4 linked regions of the Arabidopsis thaliana genome follow. The protein of the gene in region 1 interacts with the protein of each later gene in a pairwise test. Each region holds a gene or a part of one and is shown in the gene's direction. Other genes may lie near its edges.

Region 1 (9,217 bases):
CCTATTTCCAACCTTAAGTTTACAACTTACAAGAGAGTGCTCTCACTCAAAATCCCCTGCATCTCCATTTCGTTCATTGATATCATCTATCAGGTTTATGTCTTCACCAACAGCTTTTTTGTGCGATCCACGCATCTTCACGAGTTTTCTCGGGTTCCTGCAACCTTTCAACACATCAGACATGGCTTCTGCTCTATGCAAAATAGACTTCCTTCTATCTTTATCAGGCGGTGCATCTACTGCTTCTCTGTATGTATTTGGCAGCTTCTTCGAGTGAGGAAGAGACGACATTAGGCTGGATAGTCTCTTCGCCATATCGCTCATCCCTTTCGATCTCAACCCGTTATCGATCATCTTAAATGTGATGTACTGTGGAATAATCCCTCGTCTCACTGCGTTGTCAAACTCTTCAAAGGCTTCTTCTAACATCTCGAGTCTGCAGAGCAAATGTATAAGCATTGTGGTTGTTAATAAGTCAGGATCGATTCCTCTGTTTTTCATCTCCTTGTTCACTTGCATCGCCAAGCTCAGCTTCCCATCCTCACACAGCATTTTCAAGATCAAATGATACGTTAACCGGTCTGGACTGTGTCCAGCTTCAATCAACTTGAAATATAAGTTCATGCCCTCTTCCGTTTTGTTATGCTTTGAGAAATACTTGAAGAAATGGTTGTATGTAGTCGTGGTAGGATCAACACCTCGTGTCATCATCATCTTGAGTATTTTGCTAGCACCAGGAAGATCTCCAGCCTTGCAGAAATTCTTCACTAGTGAATTATAAGTCACTATAGTAGGACCTGATTCACAAACGAAGAACCTTTCCATCATACCTAGAGCTTCACTTAACCGCCCCGCTTCTCCTAAACCATCGATAATCGGATTAAAGACCATAAAATTAATCTCCATTTCTGCCATCTTCATTTCTTCAAGAACCTCCATAGCAATCTGAACACGACGCATCCTGCAATACCCTTCGATAAGAGTACCGTAAGTAACAACAGTCGGCTTCACATTCATCGCTTTCATCTCTTCCCATAACTTCTCTGCCTGCTTTAGCTTTCTTGAACGAAACCATCCATTCAATAAAATGTTGAAAATCCGAACAGAAGGAACCCAATTCGAATCCATCGTCCCTCCTATTCTCTCCAAATACATTGAAGCTTCTCTAACATGACCTTCTTTACAAAGTGCATCTAACAAAACCTCAAGCAACCTAAGTTCCGTAGCTGATTTACAAACCGGTTCATAACTTCTAGCGAATTCAAAAGCTCGTATAGCTTGTTGCACCATACCTACAAGCAAATTGGAAAAACTATATTAAAGTCAAAAGCTTTATGCTTCTATTACTCTAAGCTAGCTCTTTGTATCAGCAATATTGATGAAGCTACAAGAAATCTGCATACCAGCACGAGCATACCGTCTGATCAAAACGATGAACGTATCTGCAGAAACCAAATTCGATCCTTCATCGCTTCTCACTCGATCAAAAACCAACGACCAAGCAATTTCAAATTCACGAGCTTTACATAGAGAATTGACAACAGAATCGAAAAGTGAAGGAGAAAGTGTAAACCCAGGTTTCATCTCCGCCCATTTGAACACTGAGTGAAGCAACATCGGCGATGAACTTAACCGATCGAACAACGCGTGAACCAACTCAACACTCGGTTCGATTCCGGTTTCATCTAAAGCTGACTCGAGACTCGAACCGGGAACAACATCAGTGTTCTCGAGAAGATTCGATATAGTAGAGAGATCGGTTTTCGAGACGGTGTTTTGTTGCGGTGGAGTACATGTAGAATCGGGTACGGCGGGTGATTGTATCCGTTGGATGAGAGGCTCGACGGGAATGAGCGGGGATGAACGGCGAGATGATGATAACAATCTATGAAGAAAGAAGTTGCGGTGAGGATTAGGGTTTAAGAGGAGGTTGCGGCGGAAGGCGGTGAACAGAGAGTTCATTTTCTGCCGCCGTTTATTAGAATTAAGTGTCCGCCGAGAAAATTAGGACACTCCGATTACGCGCCATTTGGGCTTTTGTTTGTTAACTGAAAATATCGATCAACATGGCCCATTATTTTAAAATGAAGTTACATATAGAATATTTGATATATATCCTCATACAACTTAGAAATTGTCTTTCTAGTCCTTCTCCACACGTATTTAATTTGTTTTTTATAAAGATGTATATACAATTTATCATTTATTTTTTTGGATAATTTACAATTTATTATTTTGCAAGTAAGAATCCGTGTATGCGTGTGATTCGTATATGTCCAAATACATATAATTAATGTTGTTAAATTGGTAGAAACGCCTTTTTGACTAATGTTTGAATTTCTATATGTGAATAAATATCTTTCGAAATAATTGTGAGAATGCAAGGCAATGGATGTGGTTATTTTCTCCCTCCATTTCCTTTTCAAATTTATTTTATCCCTTTAAAGAAATAAACATATAAATATTATTGACCAAATATATTAAATTGATTTTAAGGTAAAATAGTTGGAAAATATGTGTATAATTAGAAAAATGTCAAAAATTTATAATTGATCTGAACTCGAGCACTTGTTGATGTGTATTTGGATCGTATTTTCCAGATACATGAATTTTAAATTAACATCTTTTAATTTGATTAAGTAAATCAACGATTAAAAACGTGAATGATGGTAGATACATTGCGGTGATAATATCGTACAGAATCGTTTAATGTAAATATAATGTCTATTAATGTATTTTCGTTTCCAAATTAGAAATTACTGTAATTTACGTAAGGTAAATATATTTTTTGTTTTCAAAATAATAGTCATTACCATTTTATGTTTGTCGGAAATTTCTCGACCAATAATTTGTCTATCTATCGAAGTAGTGTAGTTCTTAAAAAACAAACAAATTACCATAACATATAAACTTTTTTTTGTTAATTGACAGCTCCAACATATGTGTAGTAATAAAAGACAGTTGCACTATTCCTTGTATAGTAACTTGGACCAAATTATAGAAATCATTCTTACAATTTTTTACCAAAGAAATTGAAGATTTTTCCAAAAAAAGCAAAGAAAGATTTTTTAAATTCCGATTTTTTTTTTTTGTTATATCCAAAAAAATCCGAATTTCAAACAGTACCTTTTTCAGTCAGTCGCTTCCCCCGCTCCTCTCCGCTCTCTCCCCCACCTACACATATTTCAACACTCTCTCTCTCTCTGGAGCGTTCTCTTCTCTCCTTGAGCTTCTCTTACCGCCATTAGAGCTCCTTCACAAACTCATAAACCTATTTGTTGAGCCAGGTATCATCATCACCTCTCGTCTGCTCACAATTTCCTGTTTGATTACCGATTCTCTGAATCGTAGCTTGTTGCTCTGCGTTTTGATCGATCGGAGCTAATAGTAGTTTGGATTTTAGTCTAATCGATCTCTCTAGCGAATGTTTTTTGGTCTTCGATTGAGATGATCGATTCCTCTTTGTTGTTTCCGCTTGTATTTGGTTTCTGCGTATTTGTTCTTCAAGCATGGCTAATCACTGGGAAATTGAAATTGTTGAGATCGTTCTTATCTGTTTGACTGGATTTTATGAAACGTGTGTGTACTCTATGGCTCATTGTTTGTTTAAGTAATCGGTCTTTTAAAGGATTTTTGCTATGAAGAACAATGCTTAATTCGATTTGGAAATGACTAGCTTGAAAATTGGATCTATCGATGCAGATTAATGTGAAGGAAACATAGAAACTAGTTGTGATAAGCTGGGTTGCTTGTTTAAGCTGACATTTACTCAATAGTTAGAATCGTGTGGAATTGAGATCTGTGGCTAAATTTGAGTATGAAGAAATCGTTTTAATTGCCACTATATGCTTGTTTCTTCCTGAAATTTATGCTGCATTTGAACATTGCTTGATCTTTTTGATGGAGGCAAGGATAGACATTTGATTATGAACTGTTGTTGTTCTGCAGGCTTGGCTTAACCACTGGCCTTTTTCCAGACTAAATTATGTATTGCTCTTCTTCGATGCATCCAAATGCAAACAAAGAAAATATCTCTACTTCAGATGTACAGGAGAGTTTTGTACGAATAACGAGATCACGAGCTAAAAAAGCCATGGGAAGAGGAGTATCAATACCTCCAACAAAACCTTCTTTTAAACAGGTACTGAAACATGTTCTTATAGAAAGTCATGAATTTCAAGAGCTGATGCTAAACTCTCTAATTTCCTGCCTCTGGTTTATCAGCAAAAGAGACGTGCAGTACTTAAGGATGTGAGTAATACCTCTGCAGATATTATTTATTCAGAACTTCGAAAGGGAGGCAACATCAAGGTAAAGATTTCAGATGATACGCTTTCATTGTCTTGGTTGGTTTATATCTTATGTTGGTAATATAGCCTTCAAACTTTCCCTTTGGGCTTATTACTGTTGACATCACGTTGCAGGCAAACAGAAAATGTCTAAAAGAGCCTAAAAAAGCAGCAAAGGAAGGTGCTAACAGTGCCATGGATATTCTGGTAGATATGCATACAGAAAAATCAAAATTAGCAGAAGATTTGTCCAAGATCAGGATGGCTGAAGCCCAAGATGTCTCTCTTTCAAACTTTAAAGATGAAGAAATTACTGAGCAACGTAAGAACTACAGTGTTCGTGAAAATAATGATAGTTACCACCTTCTCCTCATTTCCGAGGTCATGTTGATCACTCGCTAACTTTAAATCAAGCATTGGACTCCAGAATGCTGAAATTAGTTATTCCCATTAAATTTGTGTTGTCAAGGGTTGAAACAAGTGAACTCTATACCAACATGAATTTCTCAAACTTACTTAAGGTATGTATCTTATACTGGATTGTGCAGAAGAAGATGGATCAGGTGTCATGGAGTTACTTCAAGTTGTAGATATTGATTCCAACGTCGAAGATCCACAGTGTTGCAGCTTGTATGCTGCTGATATATATGACAACATACATGTTGCAGAGGTATTGAATTACATGATCCAAATATTTGCTTTACATCTTTCCACTGTTAACTTCTTGTAACTAATCTCAATATAACTACTTATATGAAGACTGTTGGAGTTATAACCTCTCTTTTCTTGCAGCTTCAACAACGACCCTTGGCTAATTATATGGAGCTTGTGCAGCGAGATATCGACCCAGACATGAGAAAGATTCTGATTGACTGGCTTGTAGAAGTTAGTTACCTTCAAACTTAGCTCATATATATAAATAACGGCATCATCTTATTATGTTTCTTATTGAATAGGACACTAAACCTTACTATACATAGCTTTCTTACAAAAATTAGAGCAAAAACTGAGAGTACTTTTGAGTAAAATAGTGAAGTGCGTGGTATTTTCAGGTTTCTGACGACTACAAGCTGGTTCCAGATACGCTTTACCTTACAGTGAATCTTATCGACCGGTTTCTGTCCAACAGTTACATTGAAAGGCAAAGACTCCAGCTCCTTGGTGTCTCTTGCATGCTTATAGCTTCGTAAGTCCCTACTTTGTTGTTTGTGTGTGTTTGTCAATTTCAGGTTATAGCAATGAGAACAGCATTTCCATCACTGGGAGAGCGCGAACCTATATATATATGTATACTTGCTAAGTAGAGAAACAAGTAAGGCTTATCTTCCTTATACATTTTTGTTGAACCTTGTAGAAAATATGAAGAGCTTTCCGCACCAGGGGTGGAGGAGTTTTGCTTCATTACGGCCAACACATACACAAGACCAGAAGTAATTAACATTCAAATCACACATCTCTCGGTATCTTTAATGTGTACAGATTCTTGATGAAAATATATAAACTGGAATCTTTGTTTCAGGTGCTGAGCATGGAGATTCAAATTCTAAATTTTGTGCACTTTAGATTATCGGTTCCTACCACCAAAACATTTCTGAGGTAAATACTAAAGGGCAGAACTATGAATCATCATATCTTTCCAACTTTGTTTAAAAATAGTACCACTGAGTTTTCATCTTACCAATGTTTTTTCAGGCGGTTCATTAAAGCAGCTCAAGCTTCGTACAAGGTATGAAACCATGATCCATTTATCATCAACCCTCACTTCTACAGAAACTTGGAATCTGAATGTAGTGCGTTGTTTCTTATAATTATTTTGCAGGTGCCTTTCATTGAACTGGAGTATTTAGCAAACTATCTCGCCGAATTGACACTGGTGGAATATAGTTTCCTAAGGTTCCTGCCATCACTAATTGCTGCTTCAGCTGTTTTCCTAGCCCGATGGACACTCGACCAAACTGACCATCCTTGGGTCAGCTCATGTTTCTTGAATCTTGAAAAAGGTTGTTTTTGTGTTTGCCTCTTTTTTGTGCTGATAAAAAGAATGATGTTTGGTTATAGAACCCTACTCTGCAACACTACACCAGATATGAGGTAGCTGAGCTGAAGAACACAGTTCTCGCCATGGAGGACTTGCAGCTCAACACCAGTGGCTGTACTCTCGCTGCCACCCGTGAGAAATACAACCAACCAAAGGTACATTTCTCTACAAAACACCGTTAAATCAAACTACTGATTGTTGAAGAAAAGTGAATGAATGATTGAACTGGTTTTAATTCTGTATGACTTTGATAGTTTAAGAGCGTGGCAAAGCTGACATCTCCCAAACGAGTCACATCACTATTCTCAAGATGACACCAAGCAACATCGAAAACAGAGCCCAAGTCAGGTGATCAAAATACCTATTTTCAGACATTGGATGTTATGTCGTCTCTTTGCCAGTTTTGTCTGTCTGTAATTCTGTAGCTATTGTGTGGCGCCTTAATTGTAGGCCATTACTTGTCACACCACTTAGCTTTAAATAAATGTTATGGAATTTTTCTAATCGCATTGCTACAACTATTTACTATCCTGCGGGATTTTGTACCTAGGAGCACTTGGAAAACGAATACAAAAGTGTTAATTAATATAAATTTCACTGTTCATGGCTGGATTGTTATGTTGTTTGTTCTGATTTCGCAATGCTATATTCATATGGAAACATTTCCATCTACAATTAACGTCTCCCGTGTAACATTTGGTATCCCCTTTTTACTGATTCCTCCATGCTTGATTTTATTCGTCAAATTAGTCTTCAGGTATACTTCAATGTATGTATTTCCATGGCTTGAAGTTCTTCAATCTTCCACAAATTCAATCAAATCCTAAAATTCGAAGATACGCCAACACTTTTCCTCCTTAAAAACTCTCAACTATACCCACTTCAGTTCCTTAAGTTGAGTTATCACAGCTACAGTTCCTTATATAGTCCTCCACTAAACAAACAAGAAATCCCTAAGTCTGTAGCTCGACTTAAAACCGCTTCAGATACTTTTCTCAAAGTCGACTTACCTATAATTTTCTGTATGGCAATAGCCTCTACCGCCGTGATTGCGCACGAGATTCATTTACAAAGATCAGGACGCCTAAACCGGTAACTTCTCACTATAAAATGGTAAAAACAGTGTTATTGTTTACATGATCACTTATTCTCTTCTTATGCTAGTCATCCTTACTAGTACAACTGTTGCTCCTGAGTTTGTTTAAGCGTGAATTTGTGTTGGATGATTTATTATAAGATTTTTTATGGGTCAATTGTGATGGATGTGAGCTTGTGTGTCGTAACTTAGGGATACCACTACTAATCATCCCTCCTCTGTTTCCTCTTTAAGAGTCTGCAAGCCTTCAACCACAGATCAAGCTAAGACCAGTTGAGCTCTAGCCATACCATACTACGGCTCATCGGTGTTTTGTGTTTTATTTCTTAAAAATGATGGTCTCTTGTTTTTATGTTCTTTCTATTGGACTTTTTAACTATTGGGGTAAATTAATGTCTGTTCTAGTTCAGTGGACACAACTATGTTGTTCGTTTCTTTTAAATGACTGATAAGCTTTCAACATATAAACTCTATGCATATTTGCTTATCCACAATTGTATTGATGAAAAACAAAGAAACAATGAAAGTATCAATGAATCACAAAAAAACAAATGGGTTTAGAATCTTCGCTTACATCCCTCAGACTCTAATCTCCCTAATCTCAGTGAGTTTAGAAGCTTTCCTCACATCCCTCAGATTCTTTTCTCCCTAATCTCAGTCTAATGGCGACTGGATTCACATACAACATTCAACAAACCCACACACATAACTGGTAATCTTATGTTGCTTCTGTTACAAGATTCTCTGCATATATAACATTCCTCTTTCCCAACATTTGATTATCCTTTACTGTCTCACAAGTCATAAAGCTAATATAGAGCATATAGCCTGAACGAAAGTAAGAAGGAGAAGTACACAGGCAGCCACAACAGAAGCAGCTGACCAAGGATTGTGGAAATAATCACGTCTCAGAGTTGCTTTCCACTTGTTCCAAGGCGCATTGCAATGCGCTTGTAGATTCCCATAGACTGTCTTATAGTAAAACCCGCTGTAACTTGTCTCTTTCAATATGCTATTGAACAGCCTCGAAACGTCTTCTGCATTTCCAAATCTGTTCACAATGATCCCGTGGTCAATGAACAACTCAGCATCCATGGGAGATCTTATGAAGCAACTGAGGAACCTCATATAATGAATGAAGTAAGCATCTAAACGATGACATTGCTCAAACAAGATGATGTTTCTGTACAGAGATTCTGTGATGTCGTTGATCTTGATTTTGGGAATCGTGAGGACTCCGTTTGCAAAGCTTATGTCAAGTGCGCAGGTGTTGTTATCTGCGGGCTGGAGCTTAACACCGGCATTTTGAATCTCTTTTGCACTCAGTACAGAGTCCATCATCCTCATGCTTCCTCCAGGAAAACTCAAAACCAAAGGCAGGTGAATAGATCGCAGAAGGTCAACAAAATGACAGATCTTTGAATCAGAAATGCTTCTCGAAAATGAAGGGATGCTCATCCAGAATTTCTTGAAGTGGTTGTGAATGATTCGAGTCAGAGGGGGAAGTTCCCTATGGTAGTCAACATGTAGCAATCCAAACATCCCCTCGACAACAAAATATGGAAGCTGATTTTCAAGTAACATAACGTCATGGTTCACATCGACAATCATCTTTTGCTTCCCATATATCCTATCTAGCATACCTCTATATACATCAAACTGAGACCTCAAAAGAAGTTCTACTAGGAAGCTTGCATCAACGATTAACATCTTCACATATTCATCGCTACTAAGTCTTACATCTTCTGTGTAACAAAAGCGAGCCCTTTCTTCCCATGTCCTTGCAACTCTTAC
Region 2 (7,871 bases), about 16 Mb from region 1:
TCATACAACTGCAATTTGATATCTTAACAGAGTTATTTCTCCAATCTTGTATATGCCATTAGCTCTCAAGTGAATCCAAATTACAATGTTGATACGTACACCGAGCATAACTAGAGTAAATGTAGACAAAATTTGGTATGTCAAGTGAAACAGAACGAATGCAATCAACATCATTAACACGCTTATAAAAGATGACAAGTCTCCTAATTGTTTTGTTGGAGATAACTTTTGGCAATCCTGAAAAAGATATCATGGGCAGGATTGCCAAACGTTATTTGAGCAATACAAGTAGGAGATTCTCCATCATTTATAAACGTGCTCATGATGTAGATTGTTTTTCGCTATGTTTTTCACTCGACACACCAAATCTTCTCTACATCTACTACTCTAGTTATGGTCGGGGTAGGTATCGACATTGTAATTTAGAGTCACTTGTCAAAGCTACACTTGATCATGATTTCTTAGTAGAACATGACAATTGTTGTTGTGCTAATGTTTTAAATTGGTTTTAGATGATTAAAGATGAATTACTCATCTGACATATAGTTTTTAGTTTCTGGTTTTGTTTCTATTGCTAAGTTCCGTGGAAACAAATACTCTAGATTTTACAAATACCCTCCTTGTTGCCGTGTGTCACTTTCGGACTATGTACTCGAAACACTAAGCATCAGGTTGGATATTTCCAAGTTGACTGATCCATTGTGAAGGAGTTACTAATCTCTAAGCCGTTCCTTTAGAAAATTCTTCCCAACCCTTTTCCACTCGAATTCTCATGTGTTTTTCGTAGAAAAAATTATATCCACTTTGTACCATCTGTTCCCAACAAAATTACCGTCAAATCTTTTTCAGGGTCTTCACCATTGCCATTCATGAGAGAAACTGACATGAATTAATCTAGGATGATAACTTTTTTTGGAAAAGATGGTACATAGATGACACATCTTCTACGAAAATGCACTGGAAAGAATGAGTTTGGGAGCACATAGTTTAAAGATTGGTTAATTTTCACGTTGGAGTCAATTTGGAAAAATGTAATTCCTAAGCTCAGTTTTTCTAGTACAATATCCAAAAGTGATACAAAGGCAGCACGAAGAGTATCAAAAGCTAGAGAGAAAGATTATATTTTCACTAAACCTACCAGTTTTCGAAATAAAACCAAGAAACAAAATTAACATCAATGATATGATACGCTTTCTAATAATGGTCTCCTAATGTGTTGTAAGTGGGATATATTGAAAGAATTAAAGTTCATATAAGATACATATGCTCTTGGACATATATATGATGCAGTTTAGACATAGTTTATAATTGAAAGTGAAATACAAGAAATCCTCATTAGATAGTTTATGAAATATATTGAACTTTGTAAAAATAGTAAACAAAAATAAATCTAAATTTTTATTTATTTTGTATTTGAAATAAAACCCAAAAAGAAGATCTTTTCATGAAAGAGAAAAAAAGAAGTAAAATTGGTTGTAAATTTATTTCTGAATAGAAAAAAAAAAGAAATTGTGCCACGCAAAACCTTAATGCTTGAGCTTAATAAAATGAACCTTAATGCTTGAGCTTAATAAAATGAACCTTAATGCTTGAGCTTAATAATTGGGGATTATGTGGTTAATAGTATGGACCAGGAATCTTAGTCAGCAAACACTATATGGATTTTCTAATTATCTTAAATGGAAGTAGTAATTTATTTGTTTTTGTTTTTTAACATAGGAAATTTTGAAATATTTAGGTCCAAATTCGTGGTTTCCAAATATCTACACTTCAGATATCCAAATTTGTGGTTTAATATATATGTATATCCAAACTAAATTTAATTACAAAAAAAAAGTGGAATTTTAATATTTAGTTTGCCATTAAAAGATTTTAGATACAGTATATGGATTTTTGAGAGGCATGGCACTATTATTCGGAATCATAGATCCAATCCGGAATTCTTTCCGATCCGATCCAGAAAACCGGATATCCAAGATAGGTGAATCCAGATCCAGAGAATGAATTTACGGATACGTATAATCCGAATTATAATTTGATTTTAATTTATAATGGTGGGATACATACCTTCATCTTTGTTGCCTCGTTCCAGCTTGCATTTCTCCGTAGTAACATGTTGCAGATGATTCCTTCCTAAAGGTTTTGATTGGTATTTTATATTTCGCGCGGCCCAATTGTCACATACATTTTGATTATATCCGCATAATAAATGTTGTTAGCAAACAAATGAGGATTAATATTGAAAATTGTCCCTAGATCAAAAATTTATTACTGAAATCATACCTTTCTTTGCATATACCACATAAAATGCCAATGAATCAAAATTCATCACAAGAAGCAATCATCACTAGTAGCTGATGTGTATATGTAGACGTCTCTTTAGGGTTTTTACAACAATCTCCATGGAATTTTCGATCAACATGTTTTATTAAATCATATTGATTTTTTATTATTTTATGTTTTAAGGTAAATAAGAAATTGTTTATTTTCTTCTTTGTAAACTATTGTCGGATCATATATTTATGTGATGTAGAAGCCATGTTATCGTGTACAATGCGTGTTAAAACTTAAAATTGTGAAACTTTTGTATGTAATAATGATTGATTGACTAATTGATTTTAAAAGATAGAAAATATATAAATTATGGGTCCACATGGTAATTTTATAAAGAAAAAATCCCGGATTTTTTCTATTTAATCGAGAAATATAGATAATGATATACAAAAATTGGTGATTTTTTGTGAAATGTCAGTTGACTAGAAATTTGAAACAATTCTTATCAATGTATTTTTAAAAATATCATGTTTAATATGTAAGTTTAATATTCATTAGTGTGCATAATGTAAGAATAATTACTAATTTACATAAATATTTTCTCTTATATGTGAAAGTATTTAACTACTGATTTATTGATATACAATGAAAAAGTATGGGCTATTAACTTTATATGATTTCAATAATTTTTATGATTAATATATTTGATAAAAATGATAAATAATAAATCATTATTTTAAAAGAAACATGTATATCCAACAAAAAAAGCCGTGTGTAATACGCGTTGGTTCAAAGGGTAATTTAACTATGGAAAATAGTCCTAGATTTATTTTTGTTAAATTGAGAAATAAAAATCATTATATACCAAAATTGTAAACTTAGCAATTTTTTGGTGCAATTTCCGTTGACTCGATTTTTTGGAAAAAGTCTGTCAATTTCAAAGAAAAAATATTATGTTTAAATACTTAAGTTGAATATTTATTCGTGTGCATAATAATAATTTATTTTTCGTATAAACATTTTTTATTCTATGTGAATGTATGTAACTAGTTGTTTGTTGTTACATGTTAAAAGTATGTACTATTAAGTTTATATGGTTTCAATAAAAAAAATTCAATACTTTTTATGATGAAATTATTTGATAAAATTTAAATAAATGAAAATTGTTTTTTTAACAACAAACCGATCATATTAATGAGAATTTATTTTAAAATAGAAAAGCCGTATGCAATACACGTTATATTTAATAGAAAATTCGTAGTCAAATGATGAATTTAATTAGCAGTTTAATTTTTAAGAAGTTAAAGATTTAGTCAAATGATGAATTTAAATTTATTCGACAACAAAAATTATCAATAAATCAAAAATGTAAAACTGACGATTATTCTATGAAAAGTGAAAACACAACGGAAAATACAAATAATAATGATGAGTTTGGGGTTTTATTTAAAAATAATAATAATAATAATATTGTTTTTGACAATTAGATAAAAAAGGTAAACTTTTTTTTTCTTCTCCTTTGTTTTATTTTAACCCCACAAAACTCGAAAACCTTTTTCCCATTTTCTCACTTTCCCTCTTCTTCTCCTCCCTCAAAGCTTTTCCCTCTCATTTTTCTCTTTCCGCTTTCAAGCTTCTTTTCCCTCTCTCAAAAAATGGGGAAATACATGAAGAAATCAAAGATAACTGGCGATATCAGCGTCATGGAAGTCTCTAAAGCAACAGCTCCAAGTCCAGGTGTTCGAACCAGAGCCGCTAAAACCCTAGCCTTGAAGCGGCTTAATTCCTCCGCCGCTGATTCAGCTCTACCTAACGACTCTTCTTGCTATCTTCAGCTCCGTAGCCGCCGTCTCGAGAAACCCTCTTCGCTGATTGAACCGAAACAGCCGCCGAGAGTTCACAGATCGGGAATTAAAGAGTCTGGTTCCAGGTCTCGCGTTGACTCGGTTAACTCGGTTCCTGTAGCTCAGAGCTCTAATGAAGATGAATGTTTTGACAATTTCGTGAGTGTCCAAGTTTCTTGTGGTGAAAACAGTCTCGGTTTTGAATCAAGACACAGGTTCGTTGTTTTTTTTTTTTTTTTTTTGTGCCCTAATGTTTTCTTATTACCAATTCGACTTTTGTGTTCTGTCTTATCCAATAATCTTAGTTTTGAGTCTTACATAGTTTTGAATCTTAGTTAGGTTTCTCTGAAACTTTTGTTGTTTGCTTCAAATCAATTTTTTTTTTTTTGGGGGATGAAAATAGTTTAGTACAAGAGAAAAATAGGTTTTTTATGTTTCCCTTATTGGTTTGGTTTTTGTTTATGAATTGACTCTCTTGTGATGTACTGAATTTTGTTATTACTACTTCTCCGTATAAGTCTCTTTTGGTGTTAGATTTACATTATATCTGATTTATTGCTGTATGTCCCATGTGTACTTCATTGCAGAGATTATCAATGAATGTGTCAAAGCTATTTTCGTTTTATATATGTATTTCATTATTTGTTACAAATTTGGTGAAACTCTGATCTGTTTTTGTGTATTTTAATTTGTTTAAGAACATGTTGATTCTCCTTGTTATTAGGCTAATGGCATAAGAAGTATTTGTACATTGGGTATACAATATTGGGATTTGGTTATTGGGGGTTTACTTAAACACATGGTTTTCGTTTTTACAAAAGTGGGTTGTTGTATAAAGGTCAGAAACTTTTAATATGTAAGATTATATGAGAATTGGGACTTTCCTCATAAGTGTAATGCAAGTACTGTGGTGTCATGTTCATGGGACCTAGTGGTTTTTGCATACTTGGGGAATACTTTTGTAGGATCCTCTGTTTTTTGGGGTAACCGTCCTGCTGCTAGTTGACAATGTGGTGATTGCCTTCTCTTTGTTATTTATTATCTTATGGGACCATATTACTTAGAAAGTCTCTAGCTTTTGTTGTTTACTTAAACCAAGCCTCTTTTTTATTCTGGATGTTTGGTTTTGGTTTGATTCTTGATTTGGTTAAGTGTCTTTGTGGTGATAATGTTATTGAAGTTATTTTATCTGTGTTTTTTTCTGCAGCACAAGGGAGAGCACGCCTTGTAACTTTGTTGAGGATATGGAGATCATGGTTACACCAGGGTCTAGCACGAGGTCGATGTGCAGAGCAACCAAAGAGTACACAAGGGAACAAGATAACGTGATCCCGACCACTAGTGAAATGGAGGAGTTCTTTGCATATGCAGAGCAGCAGCAACAGAGGCTATTCATGGAGAAGTAAGCTTATTCTTTATTTTATTTTTGTGTCATTACGAAGAGGGTGAACAACACTCATGTGTTTTCAATAATCTTCAGGTACAACTTCGACATTGTGAATGATATCCCCCTCAGCGGACGTTACGAATGGGTGCAAGTCAAACCATGAAGTTCAAAAGGAAACAGCTCCAAAAGACATGGTGTGAAGTTAGAGAATGTGATGGAGTTAACAGACTAACCAAACATCAGAAATCGTGTAATCTTAAGTAATAATGTGGTTAGAGAACAAGTTTGAGAGTAGCTTAGGGACCTTAAAACCTCACACCATTTGTACTACTAATCTTCTTCAGATGCTTAGTGAAATTTTCTCATCTGTTTCTTTCAAGTGTTTGTTTTTCTATCTATCTCTCATGTTTATTCAAAGCTATATGTAATGATGATGATTGAGAGGGATGTGTGTGAACATGTTTAAGCTTGGCATATAGTGAAAAAAATGATTCAGATGCAGAAGAAAGAGACCCAATTGAGAGGTTCACGTGTGAATTTTGGTAGGTGTAAAAATCTGAATCATATCCTTTTTCTTTCAACTATACAAGATTGGTCCCTTTTCTTCTCTTACCATAATTATGACGCACGTGAATGTGTGTGTAAATACTTTGACGTTTACATTGAAATACTGTAATGTAAGTTCAGAGTTAAAAGTACAAACACAAAGGTGAATTTTGTACTAATTAGTAAAGAGATAAGAGTGTTTTGAATCTTGAATATCAAATTATTATTAACAAGAAACTGACAAAAAGATGAGACAGTGTTCATTGAGAAGATCTCTGTTGTTTTATCTTTTTTTTTACATTTCTTGGAAATTGGCAAAACCAGTGTGATGAAACTGTGAAATCTTATCTCGAACCCAATCATTGTTCTATGTTTTTCTTTAATCTCTAAAAGTGAAAAAGTGAATGCATGAAACGTTCAGATACATTCATTATATTATACATTTATACATATGGACATGGTGTACGTATGTACACGGGTGCTTGTTTGATCACGGGCTCACTGACTATAAAAATCATGTTTTTTGGGACATATAGATTCGCTTACATCAACTGTGTGACCAATGGGGTATCTGAATTCAGCTTGTTCGATGTTTTGTTTGACTCTTTTAAACTATTTGGTAGTAAAAAGCCAAAAAGGAAGAGCACTGATTACGAAAGCCTTTTTGTCTTTTTGTTTCTTCTTCTCTAGCTCTCTTTCGTTCTCCTTTTGGGTTAGTCCTTCAAAATAAATGTCTTTAACTTGTCATGTATAGTTTCTTTCTCTCGTTGAACACCAACCATAGGCCTTGCAATGTGAGTCAAAACATGCATTGAAAAAAGAAGTGAATTTCAACATTAAATGCTCTCGTTTAACATGCCTATGGTTCCATTAAGCAAAGTACACACTCTATATATGTCGAAAGAACTATACAGTCGGTGTTTTAGCCCTATAGTTAGATACATTCGAACTGATTACAGAAATATCAAATATCCAGTTCTAAGATCGGATTAAGGCAAATACATTTAAACTACTTCTAGCGAATGAGGTTCACATAGAAAAACTTTTTAAAATGAATCACTAAACAAGATTCATTTTCTTTCTAAATAGTGTAAAGACGAGTGATGCATGCAACTGCTCTCCTTTCCGTTGGTCCCTTGTCAAAATATACGACCGTGAATAATTCTTCCCATCATATTTATCTGTCGGAGAGTTCCAACCTCAAAACATTCTCCTTCTCTTATCAATTCTTTCTAAAATCATAAACCAACAAACTGGGCCTATGATCAATTATTCATATTCAATTTAGCCTATAACTAAAACCACACTGCTTTCGTTACACTGGCCTTCCGACAAGTCTCTTTGACTGTTTTTATCTTAAGCGCCATCAAGTTTTAAAGAAGACAACCCCATATCTTTCCTCCCATGAATCATCGTGTCCATATTGCTATAGTTCATGAAAAAACTAAATACTATCGACAACTGAAGAAAAGATCCGGATCTTGTGGACCGAGTGAATGGTTGGGCCCAATTAGAATGGTCTACCCTAACATCTAGCCGTCTACACGATTGATCATACGTCTAAGAGGGCGAAACCACCAAACGTTTGGATTTTATCTAAATTGATGTACATAAAGCTAACATGATTTTAGTATAAACATTATAAGCATCATGGAAATCAATAAGCTAACATGATTTTAGTAGAAACATTATCAGCTAACATGAATTACTAAAAACATTTATTTTATTTTAAGGAAAAACATACAATACTAAGATTTTTTATAACATTTTTTCTTTGTAACATTATAAATTGTTTTAGTTTCTACATTAATTAAATATAT
Region 3 (5,255 bases), about 22 Mb from region 1:
TGGAACCTGTTCTTATTGTGCTAAGGTGAGAACGAAATTGTATTGCTTTCATCGGATTCTCTAATCTGAGAACTGTAGCTTTTTAGCTGATATTTTAATTTGGATACAGGGCCATGATGATCTATGTGAAGACTTCTTTGCTTACAACAGAGCCAAGGGAACTCTTTACGATGGCGAAACTCGTCTCTTTTTGCGACATGATGGTAAATTTGAAGACTTTTTAAACATCAGGTGGCATATTAGGAGAACTGTGATTGTTTTACCTAATTACATTTCTTAATTTCTGGCAGATTCACCAGTGTATATGTATAGTATGGGAGGGATGGCTGAGTACTGTGTTACACCAGCTCATGGTTTAGCTCCTCTACCAGAGTCTTTGCCCTACTCTGAATCTGCCATTCTGGGATGTGCTGTTTTTACAGCATATGGTGCTATGGCTCATGCTGCTGAGATCCGTCCTGGAGATTCTATTGCAGTTATTGGAATTGGTGGTGTGGGCTCCAGGTATGTTAAATGTGTGGCATTTTCTTTTCTTTACCGGATTTGGGTTTTATTGCTTCTTGTATGACCATAACCATCTTTGAGTTGTTGCTTCAGTTGTTTGCAGATCGCAAGGGCTTTTGGAGCCTCGGATATCATTGCTGTGGATGTTCAGGATGATAAATTACAGAAGGCCAAGACACTTGGTGCTACTCATATTGTCAATGCTGCTAAAGAAGATGCTGTTGAAAGGATAAGAGTATGGTTGATTCAAGACCTCTTATTTGTGAAGATGAACCATTGATTGATATAAATATGAAAAACTGTTTCTTCTTCGTAGGAAATAACCGGTGGGATGGGTGTTGATGTTGCTGTTGAAGCCTTGGGAAAGCCTCAAACTTTCATGCAGTGCACACTAAGTGTGAAAGATGGTGGAAAAGCTGTGATGATTGGACTCTCACAAGCTGGTTCCGTTGGAGAAATTGACATAAATCGACTTGTTCGTAGAAAGGTTTGGGGTTCTTACTCTCTCTCTCTCGGCCTTGTTAGAAGAAAGTCTCTGGTACTGAGATTGTCTTTTAAGATCATGATATTGAATCTCTTTTTGTTCTGTTTTTCCAATTTTTTGTGAAGATAAAAGTTATAGGATCTTATGGAGGAAGAGCAAGACAGGATCTTCCTAAAGTAGTGAAATTGGCAGAGTCAGGGATTTTCAATCTCACAAACGCAGTCTCAAGTAAATACAAGTTTGAAGATGCAGGAAAAGCATTTCAAGATCTCAACGAAGGCAAAATCGTGAGCCGAGGTGTTGTTGAGATACTATAACCAATATAGCCTTTTGATTCTGGTTTGTGAATGACTGCTTCACACCTGTTTCACTGAGGTCTATTTTTAGTTGCTACAATCTTCAGACAAGGTCATTGTTAATCTGATATTTGTGTTTGTTTAGACAGTGAAAAGGAAAAAAAAAAACTGTAGTAACTGGACAAAATTTATAATTTTACTGTTTTTCATTTCTTTCCAACATTTATTGTTTTTCTATACTGTTAATATTTTTAATTTCTTCCCTCTTTTCACAATTTTCTACTTTCTAAGAATATTAATAACTGACATATATATAAAAAAACACAATTTATTTCTCTTTTGATAAAATTATCTATAAATCATTAAATCTTTGATGAGAAATATCCAATCTACTAATGTATATCGATGATTTAAATGAAATTACTTATTTGAACACAAAAATAAATGAATTTACTAATAAATAAATAGCGTAGTTGGAGCAAGTGGCTAAAAAAATTACAAATCTAGTTTCCATTCTCAGCGTCGGCTGCTTGGAACGTCACCGTTTTCTGGAAAACGCAATCTTCTCCCTTCCGTGACGTCTCACCGGAATTTTCTCGCTTTTGTCTACTCTCCTCCATCTCCGAGGTTCTCCAAGCTCAGCTCCTCTTCCCATCATTCATCCGACCGCCTTATCCGGTCAGATCCTTTACGTATTTCTATTTTCCTGATCGTCGATTTTTGAGAAATGTAAAAACAGATCGTATAAGGCCTCGAAGTTTTTAATTTGAAAGTGGTATCGAAATTTTTTGGTCTTTGATTAGGTTAGGGCACCGTAGCTCTGGGTATTGAATTTGTAGGGTTTTCCTCTGGTTATTGGTCTTTGGAGCTTGGTAATTTCTGCTGAATTGATTGATCCCTTTTCCATCTTTTGAAGTAAAGTCTCGAGCTTTCGTGTCTCGATGTAGATGAATTCTATTTTGAATATGAGATTTGATAAGACGTCAATTGCTGATAATTTGGAGTCTTTGTGTCTGAATTTGTTCATATGAAGTTTTCTGAGGGATGTGAATTTTATTGTCTGCTAATTTTGAAACGTTCCTTTTGGAATTTGGTTTGTGAGGAGTCCTAGATCTTTTTCTGTGAAGTTTCTTGCTTGTAAGTTTTCTGGATCACTTGATTGAGTCTAGAATCTAGATAGATTACATGTACGGTTTGATTCCTTTGGCTGATTTTCCAAAGTTTTGTTCAAATTTCAGGAGAACTACAAAGAGGAAACCAAGATTGTTTTGTTTTGTTAGACTCTACCCCTTTTCCGATTCACATGGTAAGGACATTGAGGTAGAGAATAATACTAAAAAGCAATGGGAGATGGGAGTTCCAGTAGATCCAACAGCTCAAACAGCACTAGTGAGAAACCAGAGTGGCTGCAACAGTACAATCTCGTTGGTAAGATTGGTGAAGGCACTTATGGTCTTGTTTTCTTGGCTAGAACCAAGACTCCGCCTAAAAGACCTATTGCTATCAAGAAGTTTAAGCAGTCCAAAGATGGAGATGGAGTTTCCCCGACTGCTATCCGCGAGATCATGTTGCTTAGAGAGATTTCCCATGAGAACGTCGTGAAGCTTGTGAATGTCCACATCAATTTTGCAGACATGTCTCTGTATCTTGCCTTTGATTATGCCGAGTACGATCTCTATGAAATCATCAGGCACCACAGAGACAAAGTCGGCCATTCGTTAAACACATACACAGTTAAGTCTTTGCTCTGGCAGCTTCTCAACGGATTGAACTATCTTCACAGTAATTGGATTATACACAGAGATTTGAAACCGTCGAATATCTTGGTTATGGGTGATGCAGAAGAGCACGGAATAGTGAAAATAGCTGATTTCGGGCTCGCAAGGATATATCAAGCTCCGTTGAAACCACTATCGGATAACGGAGTTGTGGTCACAATCTGGTACCGAGCACCAGAGCTGCTTCTTGGTTCGAAGCACTACACGAGCGCTGTTGATATGTGGGCAGTTGGGTGTATATTCGCGGAGTTACTAACTCTTAAACCGTTGTTTCAAGGAGCAGAAGCGAAATCGTCTCAAAACCCTTTCCAGTTAGATCAACTTGACAAGATATTCAAGATCTTAGGCCACCCGACGATGGATAAATGGCCAACACTAGTTAACCTTCCACACTGGCAAAATGATGTTCAACACATTCAAGCTCACAAATACGACAGTGTGGGTCTCCACAACGTGGTTCACCTGAATCAGAAAAGTCCTGCGTATGATCTGTTATCCAAAATGCTGGAATATGATCCTCTAAAGCGGATCACGGCTTCACAAGCACTAGAACACGAGTATTTCCGAATGGATCCTCTCCCAGGACGGAACGCATTTGTAGCCAGCCAACCGATGGAGAAGAATGTGAATTACCCAACTCGTCCAGTAGATACAAACACCGATTTCGAAGGCACGACAAGCATCAATCCGCCTCAAGCAGTAGCAGCAGGAAACGTAGCAGGGAACATGGCAGGAGCTCATGGAATGGGCAGTAGATCGATGCCAAGACCAATGGTTGCACATAACATGCAGAGGATGCAGCAATCTCAAGGCATGATGGCTTATAATTTCCCGGCACAGGCAGGGCTTAACCCGAGTGTTCCGCTGCAGCAGCAGCGCGGGATGGCTCAACCGCACCAGCAGCAACAGCTAAGAAGGAAAGATCCCGGAATGGGTATGTCAGGTTACGCACCTCCTAACAAATCCAGACGCCTCTAAAGGTAAAATCGAGATCATCAGTCTCGGGTTAGAATCTGTGTGTTTGCCGCAGAAGAAAGCGTTGCGATTTGCTTTATAGAGTAGAGTTAGATTGTAATGCAGCATGTGGAATGTTGCTATTCATATGGATGGATTGGATTCTCTGTAGTTTTTGTATAAACATCCTCTCAAGTATTTGTTAATTATATTAGATCATCATTTCTCTTAACATCATTTCTCAAAACGTAGTAAATAGGAGATTTGCCAAGTGAAAAATATATATAATGAGACAGTTATTATGAACACAATTTACAGTTATTATGAACACAATTTTGGTGATGTTTCTACTGTTTATGAAATTTGTTTTTTTTTTACCTGCCAGTCTTATCTATTTACCACCAACATACATTAGAATCTAATGTAATTACATCATCAATCATAGACCTAATGAATATTTAATACCACACAGTTTAAACATTGCTATTAAAGTTTGAAAAGATTATACTTTAGTAAAATAATGTTTTCAAACTTGTATTCAATTATACTACGTAAGCAGTGATCCAATTATTACGAACATAATACTTTTCCAAATCAAAATTTTGTTTTTGTTCACCTTACCATCAGTTTCATAATAGAAATATTATATATATACAACACAAACAAATGAATGAGAAATGTTTTTCTATTATTATGACTTTTATTTAAGATTCAAAAGAACGAAGAAGAGTTATATATATGCTTGTTTGTTTCAGGACAAATACAATAAATAAGTGGATAAGAAAACCACAAACCTTGAACTAGCCTGAAATGTGTGAACCAAGCTATACAAACTGTACGTGATTCTGCATCGTGGAAGTCACAAACAGACTTCTGACTTCTGCTAAAGATAAAACTCACTGTTTGCAAGCAATTTAGTATAAATATGAAGCATTGACCTACCAAGATCGACACAATCACACAGTTTCTTCTTAATTAAACCTAGCTATTTTTGTCTTTAGCAGAAGTCAGAAAGCTAGTTTTGTATTTTTCTTATTTCTTAAATATATGGCGGCCAATGTTATGAGACGGTTTATGATTTAAAGATACACAATGGACCCACGACGTTGCCATAATACAATTATTAGGCTGTTAATTAACGTGATCGTTACGTTTGCTACAAACTAGCTAGTTGTGTCTTCTTTATTTTAGTAGATAAGTATAAGAGTCTAAAAATATTACAACCCAATAATGGTTACA
Region 4 (8,076 bases), on another chromosome or scaffold:
CTCTTCTGTCGTAAGAGGAAGATTGACAACTTTATTTTTTCCATGAAGGGTCATAAAAACGAGGCCCAATTTTGAAAACTTCGAAAGTACAATCAAAATAATGAAAATGTCTACATCCCAGTTTAGCAACGAAGGCAAGACCAGCCAAATAAGTTTCTACACATACAACACCAAGAGACCTCATGTTTGAAGACATACTATGTGTCTACAAGATTATCTTATTGTGCTGAAACCATAGACTGAAAGTCTGAAACATCGAAGGCTGGTTGATAGTTCTTATGAAAACTTTTGGACCGGATCGACATGGTGATCTAAGTTTTCGGAATTTTGTTTTTGGGATCAGTTTACCTGTGTTTTTCGGATATTTTTGAGTAAGTTTACTCTTTAAACTAGCACATAACTGTATCTCGATTTCTTTTGGGTTGGAGACTCAAAGTTCGAGACTCACAACTGTAGCACATGTAACTTGTTTATGGAAGTATAACAATATTAAATTTAAAACAAACAAAAATCATAATCTTTTTAGTAAACTAAAAATTGTCGAATTATATGTTTAAAACATCATTTTTTTAAGTGAAATTTGGTTTACATGATGACTCCCTTAAAAGAAATTGTTTAGCTAGGGTTCAGTTTCAATTATTCTGCCTAAAACCATTTCTTTATCAATCAAACTATAATAACAAAATTTGCTGTAGTTTACGTTCGATTTCAAATTATATGGCCAACTCCTACAGGTGATCCGAAAAGACATTCAATTTATTGATATGTGTTATTTTTATATCTTAATCTTAACTTTTATTAACTTTTAATGTTCTTCAAGTTTATAATCTTCATTGTGTAAAGACAGGAATCAAGTACTCGAGTTGACAAATGAATCGTATAAGTTAGTGAATATCTTTGGTCCTTTAAATCCGATCCGATCATCATTTTACATATATGACAGAAAACTATTTTCGCAATTAACTAAAGGACTGTGATTGTAGAACAGGATTTAGTTGTTAGATTAGATATGAGAATAATCATACAAAGATAGTCAGTGCATATGGCAGCAAAGATTGCAAAATTTAAAAGTCTCCAAAGAACCAAGGATCTTCTCATCTACCCGAGGCAGTTGCATAAACCCTAGTTTTTTACAAGAAAAACAAATAACACGCTAAACATTGCTTCGGAATCAAAATAATAACCATATAATTCTCAAATTATAGCGAATAATCCTTACCAAAAAGAAATTATAACGGAAAATTAAAGATGAATCCGAATAAATAATTGTTGAGTAGAAATAAAGAAAAATAAAAAATAGAGAAGGTGAAAGAAGATGTAGAGCTCCCTTCAATCCAAAGAAGAGTAAAAGCCATTAAAGGGCAAGTTAAAGCTCCTGAGATATGCAATCCATATAACCAAATCCTTTTTTACTTTACAAGGATTAGGGCTTATGGGATCCATAGCTTAGCAGCTTTTCTTTACCCTGCTCAACTCATGTTTGAACTTTAAGGAGCTCTACTTCCATCGTCAGATCAAGATCTATCGAAAAACAAAGTATCTTGTCAAATATATTATGGATCTGACATAAGCAAACTGTAAAGACCTTTAACTCTTCATAAAACAATGAGAAAGTTTTGATGAGAACGTGGATTAACAAAAACACCAAAAGAGGTAAATCTCTTACATTAGAGCTATGAAGGAGATATAAAGACAGAACAAAAGAGAGGAGGAACCCTAATTATTAACCCTAAACATACTTAGAGAGAAGGAAAGAGAGAGAGAGAAGAGGCCACGTCATGTTTTGGAAGAAATGATAGATAGAGAGTCGTAATTATAGTGGTTTAGATATTCGTGATAGAAGAATAAAAAGAAAAGAAAAAAAGGAACAGGTGGGTGCATCTGAAAAGACATGGGAAGGGTCTGACATTGTTTGTGTTAGATTCCCTACGCGTCACATGCGTCCTTCTCGGCTTTTGTGCTTCACTCTTTTTTTTTTTGGGTAAAGATAATAAAAATAACAATTATTATCGTTCCTGCCAACTACTAGTCCACTACATTTTTAAGATGTAACTTTGAAAATGAATTTGGCCGACCATTCTTTATTTCTTTTAGAAAATAATGTACAAGTGTTTCCGTTTGGTGACCTAATTCTAAATCATTTGTTAGCCCTAACAACTAGAAATTTCAACACGAAATAGTGAAATAGGTTGATGTACGGTCAGGATTATAAGTCTGATGATGTGGGCACGAAAGCAGGTAATTATTTCTCTGTCTGAGCAGAATCTATTGCTAGATTTATTACAACGAACTTGTCTTATTACCCTCACGAGTCTCGTCTCTTTCACAATTCAATGGCTTATTTTTAAGTGTGTTTTTTTATCCATCGTGTAAGTTTTTTTTTGAGTTGTTTAAATAAAAATTTGTATGATGAAAAATGTTCACTAGCAAAATACTTGACCCTGAAGTATCCTAAATTTTTCTGGTTCATACTCAAATGTTAGGCTTACTTTGTTTTCTTTGGTCACCTAAAAAAAAGTGGACTGATCAGCCTAATTATTTGTGCAAACTTTAATGATTGGGCTGCATCTCTTTCTTATGAGCCCATTATATGGGCCCAGAAGTTAACAGTTGCTTGTCTAACCTTCTCGGAATAGTTATTTGGGCCTTATATTTGGGCTTGATTCCACGCTTCATGAAACGGAAGTTAATCCGGTAGTGTTCTCCTGGTCCATGCTGCGGAAAATATGAGCAAGGTTAATTTGGCAACTTGTTGATGCAGCTTTTTATTTTCTTGGATTTTTTTTTTAATTTCTAAGTATGTTTAGGCAATGTTCCAATATTCATACAGCTAAAAAAATGTTAATATTCACAATCATCTTTTGTTTAACCACTAACTTATAACATTTTAAACCGAAGAATAATTGACGAGTCAATGTTGAGTAAACCGGAACAATTTTGCTTTTCATTTATAAACCTTTAAACGACGTCGTTACGATAGACGCTTCCAGCTTCGTTTTATTTCTAGCTTTAGAGCGTCTCTTTCCTTTTTCGTTTACTTTTCAATATTTTCCCCTAAAAATGTCGATTCCTTCTGTAATTGCTCTAACGGCTACTTTTTCTCCAGAGCATCATAAGATACCTCAACGTTAACGATAACAAATTAATTAAGATCAGTTTCGATCAATTGCTTGTGATCCGATTAGAGAGTTCCGGAGATGGAACAGCCGAAGAAAGTTGCTGATAGGTATCTAAAGCGAGAGGTTCTTGGTCAAGGTACTTATGGAGTCGTCTTCAAAGCTACTGATACAAAGGTGAAGATGATTCCTCTCTCAATTCTTCATATTTTTTGTCGATCCCATCGAAACTAGGGTTCCAATTCTGTCGTGTGTCTTTTGACGTGTCTCTTCCTGGGAACAATTTGGTTAAATCTGATAGCTCTTAGGTTTTAAATCAGCTAAAGTTTCGATCTTTACACTAATATGTGTTCTTAGAAGTCAAAGTTTGCATTTTTATGTTCTTAATGGATTTAAAGTGTGTAGTTTTTGTTTAAGTTTGTATAAGGAAGCTGATTTGTTTTGTTGTGGCAATTTGTAGAATGGAGAAACTGTAGCGATCAAGAAAATAAGACTTGGTAAAGAGAAAGAAGGTGTGAATGTAACAGCTCTTAGAGAAATCAAATTACTTAAAGAGCTTAAGCATCCACATATAATTGAGTTGATTGATGCGTTTCCTCACAAGGAGAATTTGCACATCGTGTTTGAGTTCATGGAGACTGATCTCGAAGCAGTTATCCGAGATCGTAATCTCTATCTTTCGCCTGGTGATGTCAAATCTTACCTCCAAATGATATTGAAAGGTCTTGAATATTGCCATGGCAAATGGGTTCTGCACAGGTACTATCATTGGAACTTAGAAGCAGAACTTGTTCTATCTCTAATAAGGTCTGTTTTGATTTAAACTTATGGATGATCATTCGTATTTGTTTCAGAGATATGAAGCCAAACAACTTGTTGATAGGACCCAATGGACAGCTGAAACTTGCAGATTTTGGGTTAGCACGTATATTTGGTAGCCCAGGTCGTAAGTTTACCCACCAGGTATGCTTTGTTTGTTGTGACAATGCTATTTATGTAGTAGTTCTGCTATCTTTCGTATCTTGATGTCCTTTAGCAATTTTCATAGGTGTTTGCTAGATGGTATAGAGCACCTGAACTTTTGTTTGGTGCAAAACAATATGATGGTGCAGTTGATGTTTGGGCTGCTGGCTGCATTTTTGCTGAACTTCTATTACGCAGACCATTTCTTCAGGTGAACCTCCATTTTGATTGTGTAGTAATCCAGTGCATCTGTCTACTTGTTTATCTAACTTACTTATTCCATTGCAGGGAAACAGTGATATTGATCAATTAAGCAAAATCTTTGCTGCCTTTGGGACTCCAAAAGCAGATCAGTGGCCTGACATGATCTGCCTTCCTGATTATGTAGAGTATCAATTTGTCCCTGCTCCTTCTTTACGTTCTTTACTCCCAACGGTTAGTGAGGATGCTTTAGATTTGTTGTCAAAGATGTTCACCTATGACCCCAAGTCTAGAATATCGATTCAGCAGGCTCTAAAACACAGGTACCTAAAAATCTCCCCTATGGATAATGCATAAGAACAGGTTATTTAGTTTTGTTCTCAAACCTTGATTTCTTTTTAAAGGTACTTCACATCTGCACCTTCACCTACTGACCCTTTAAAGCTCCCAAGACCAGTTTCCAAGCAAGATGCTAAGTCATCTGATAGTAAACTTGAAGCCATTAAAGTGCTGTCACCAGCACATAAGTTTAGAAGAGTGATGCCTGACCGAGGAAAGTCTGGTAATGGTTTCAAGGACCAGAGTGTTGATGTCATGAGACAAGCTAGCCATGATGGACAAGCACCAATGTCTTTAGATTTCACCATCTTAGCTGAGCGGCCACCAAACCGACCAACCATCACCAGGTAAAAACAATTGGTTTTATTACAGTCAGTTCTTGGTCAGCTTAAAAAATGAAAACTTTTGATGAATTCTTGATTTTTGGATTTGCAGTGCAGATAGATCTCATCTGAAGAGGAAACTTGATCTCGAGTTCCTATAGGATATCGCGTAACAGGCTTCTTCTTGACGTCGTTCTTCAGGTTCCTATAGCCTATAGGATCTCTCTTACTGGTTGGTTCCGTTCAGTAATTCCTGAAATTTTTCATATCACAACTAGTGATGACGAATAGTTTGAATCATTCTTTCTGTCTAAAATAAAGAATATAAAGCACAGATGATTAACTAATCATCATGTACACCCTTCATAGAAAAATCTCTGTTTTTGGCCTATGTTTAGAAGAGAGCTCTGATCCCAAACTCATTCTTCGTTCATTTCCAATTTAAAGTCCAGAATTTTTAGTATCGAACACGTTGGTGTATTACATATATGAATTTTTGATCTCATTACACTAATGCTCGATGAGAATGGAAACACATCCAAGGAATTTCAATAACTATGTAACAATGGTAAAGTTTTCTAAAGACCAATGTACGGCCACATCAATTAGAAATTCCCAATAAGTTCATATGGGCATACAAGAATAAAGCACTCATTAAGCTCATTTGCAACTGCTTTTTCCTCAGACGTTTATTGATCATTGGACGTCACCATCTTTGTCATCTGAAGATCCGACTCTGTTCGTAGCTTTCTTTGCCTAATCATGTAAAACAAGAAACAGAATCACATTATGGCAGAGTTATTATACATATAAAACTGAGCCGATCAGTTAAAAGGTTTTACCTCTTTATCCCAGTTTGTGAATATAGTGACTAAGGAAAGACACAACACTTGAACAGACAATGCTGTTACGATTCCCAGCCAAAGCCCCTACAATATGAAAATACCACAAAATAAAAGTTTCTATAAAACTAGTCTTGTGTTTGAACTTGAGAATGAGAAGGAGAGTTTAAGATTATTACCCGACCACCAATGTGGAAATGGAAACCAAGTAACAATCCTAATGGAACTCCAACAAGATAATATGATCCAAGATTCACACATGCTCCAATTTTCTGCCATCCACATCCTCTAGCAACCCCTGCAACCATAAATCAAAACTATTTGACCAGGATTCGAACCGGACATATATAAACAAGGAACCAAAGCCAATCTTCTATCATTCAAAACCTGAGAGTACGCATTGTAAGCCATCAAGGAAGTTTCCACATGCAACAATCGGTATCATTGATGCGGCATATGCGATGATTTTCGGGTCGCTGCTAAAAGCATGACCTAAGATCTTCCGAATCGACAACAAAACTGTTACAACCACAATTCCCTCGGCTACTGCTATGCCTACAATGACATATACAGCCAGTTTTGCCACTTGTGGATTCCCTGCTCCTAACTCGTTTGAGACCCTTATGCTGCAAGTTAACAGAAACACACAAAGTGAGATAGGTTGGTTTGATGAGATTTTTCTTTTTATGAGCTCTTGGATACATTTTGTTACTGACCTTGCAGCGCCACCAAGACCAACCGAAATCTGCCAGATTGTTAGGGAAGTATTTAGACTGAAAAGTTGCAGAAATGAGGTTGATCAAATATAAAGAAGAAGTACACAAACTCTGAGTACCATAAGACAAAGATAACCGAAATCTACCAGATTGAAAGCACCGAAGTTTCTAAAACCGGGTTAGGAAGAAGGCCTGAGGCAAGAACCAGAAGCTCGAAGGACCAAAGCTCCAAACTGTTTCAAACAGAATTTGATTAAAATGCAGATACTGGAACCTGAACAATGCAGCATTTTATGTTTGATGACTTACCAGACCATGACCGCTGAAGGAAAAGCAATTTTAGAGAAATCATAAAGTTCTTGAAAAGCCTCTTTCGAAAACCCGGTCCAACTATGCGAGCAAGAAGGCGAAAACTTGACATAACACGAGAGGAGAATGACGTTGAACCAGTAAGAGACCGAAATAGCAAGAGCAGCTCCTCTGTATCCTAAACCAGTCTTCAACACAAACAACCAACAGAGAAGCAAATGAAGACATGTAGTGATACCAGAGCAGACAAAGACAGGGAACACATTGTTCTGCGCTTGCAAGAACCTGTTGATACATTGAAGCAGTCCGTAGGCGAAGAGGCTCGGGATCATGTATTTAGCGTAGGAGCCAGCAACACTTGCAATGGACTTGTCTTGATGGACCAATACGAGAATCTGTTCTGTGTTAGCCCAAATGATTGAGAGAGGAACAGAGAGTATAAGAAGTACAAACATTGCTCTCTGCATTTGAATTCCCAATTTTCCATATAGTTTTGCTCCGTAAGCTTGGCCACATAGTGTCTCCAATGCACTTGCTGTTCCCAACTGTTTCACATACACACAAACTTTGAACAAAGTTACAAAACAGAGGATAACTAAGGTTATGTTATTGAATGCACTCTTTTTTTTTTTTTGACTGGATCGTGAGAGATGGGACGAAGAAACGTACGAGGAAGGTGAAGCCGGTAACGGAGGCAAAGGAGGTGGCGATAGAGGCGGCAGAGAGAGGAAGAGAGCCAAGATGGCCAACGAACATGACGGAGATGACTTGGAGAGAGTATTGAAGAAGGCTAACACCAATGAGTGGAGCAGAAAGCCATAGCTGCTTCTTCACCTCCTCCTTCACACGAATCATCGTCGTGTCTTTCTCTGTGATCAGAAGCGGAGGCGTCACACCATCTTCCATTTTCTCTCTGTTTCTCACAAAAAAATATGTCAAAAAAAAACTAAGAGAAATAGAATAACAACAAACTATCTCTCTCTTTGTTCCTAGTCTTTAGGGTTTGTGGAGCCGTCGTTGATATTTATGCATTTTTTAAGGAATGAAATCTTTTAATTATGTGGTAAATAGAAATTAATTTCTTTTCTACTTCCCCCTGAGGCAGATTATATTTTGTTTTATTAAATGACAACAACAATTGAAAGATGCTCACAATTCACAACCACGCATTTTTTTTTATATTCAAAGCTTCCGATTATATAGACAATGACGTGAGTGGCTCCTAGTTGCTCTTCTCTTATTCTATTCTCCATCGAGTCAGGAGACC

What was found.
Region 2: the proteins of CYC3B (region 1) and ICK6 interact in a two-hybrid assay, tested with the Arabidopsis thaliana proteins (one large-scale study listed by BioGRID).
Region 3: the proteins of CYC3B (region 1) and CDKE;1 interact in a protein complementation assay, tested with the Arabidopsis thaliana proteins (one large-scale study listed by BioGRID).
Region 4: the proteins of CYC3B (region 1) and CDKD1;1 interact in a two-hybrid assay, tested with the Arabidopsis thaliana proteins (one large-scale study listed by BioGRID).

Annotation. Positions count from the first base shown.
Region 1 is NC_003076.8:3,599,235-3,608,451, reverse strand, and holds CYC3B (mitotic-like cyclin 3B from Arabidopsi), read left to right. Parts: upstream 1-3,101; 5' UTR 3,102-3,287; intron 3,288-3,948; 5' UTR 3,949-3,985; coding exon 3,986-4,141; intron 4,142-4,224; coding exon 4,225-4,311; intron 4,312-4,424; coding exon 4,425-4,611; intron 4,612-4,837; coding exon 4,838-4,959; intron 4,960-5,081; coding exon 5,082-5,174; intron 5,175-5,341; coding exon 5,342-5,475; intron 5,476-5,643; coding exon 5,644-5,719; intron 5,720-5,808; coding exon 5,809-5,885; intron 5,886-5,981; coding exon 5,982-6,015; intron 6,016-6,108; coding exon 6,109-6,258; coding exon of another isoform or gene 6,259-6,347; coding exon 6,348-6,482; intron 6,483-6,581; coding exon 6,582-6,641; 3' UTR 6,642-6,939; downstream 6,940-9,217. Other genes in the region: AT5G11310 (Pentatricopeptide repeat (PPR) superfamily protein), read right to left, coding at 43-1,292, 1,404-1,962; AT5G11290 (transmembrane protein, putative (DUF247)), read right to left, coding at 8,225-9,217.
Region 2 is NC_003076.8:19,790,405-19,798,275, reverse strand, and holds ICK6 (inhibitor/interactor with cyclin-dependent kinase), read left to right. Parts: upstream 1-3,867; 5' UTR 3,868-3,929; coding exon 3,930-4,360; intron 4,361-4,542; coding exon 4,543-4,569; intron 4,570-5,325; coding exon 5,326-5,520; intron 5,521-5,598; coding exon 5,599-5,668; 3' UTR 5,669-6,006; downstream 6,007-7,871. UniProt on the Arabidopsis thaliana protein: Binds and inhibits CYCD2-1/CDKA-1 complex kinase activity. May target specifically CDKA-1.
Region 3 is NC_003076.8:25,462,430-25,467,684, reverse strand, and holds CDKE;1 (cyclin-dependent kinase E;1), read left to right. Parts: upstream 1-1,762; 5' UTR 1,763-1,962; intron 1,963-2,522; 5' UTR 2,523-2,627; coding exon 2,628-4,040; 3' UTR 4,041-4,323; downstream 4,324-5,255. Other genes in the region: AT5G63620 (GroES-like zinc-binding alcohol dehydrogenase family protein), read left to right, coding at 1-25, 110-203, 291-504, 598-739, 821-998, 1,121-1,305. UniProt on the Arabidopsis thaliana protein: Involved in cell differentiation. Required for the specification of stamen and carpel identities and for the proper termination of stem cells in the floral meristem.
Region 4 is NC_003070.9:27,711,916-27,719,991, forward strand, and holds CDKD1;1 (cyclin-dependent kinase D1;1), read left to right. Parts: upstream 1-2,994; 5' UTR 2,995-3,197; coding exon 3,198-3,293; intron 3,294-3,576; coding exon 3,577-3,875; intron 3,876-3,970; coding exon 3,971-4,079; intron 4,080-4,164; coding exon 4,165-4,290; intron 4,291-4,367; coding exon 4,368-4,603; intron 4,604-4,684; coding exon 4,685-4,966; intron 4,967-5,054; coding exon 5,055-5,103; 3' UTR 5,104-5,505; downstream 5,506-8,076. Other genes in the region: AT1G73700 (MATE efflux family protein), read right to left, coding at 5,639-5,698, 5,785-5,871, 5,964-6,082, 6,172-6,410, 6,501-6,557, 6,647-6,733, 6,810-7,354, 7,479-7,715.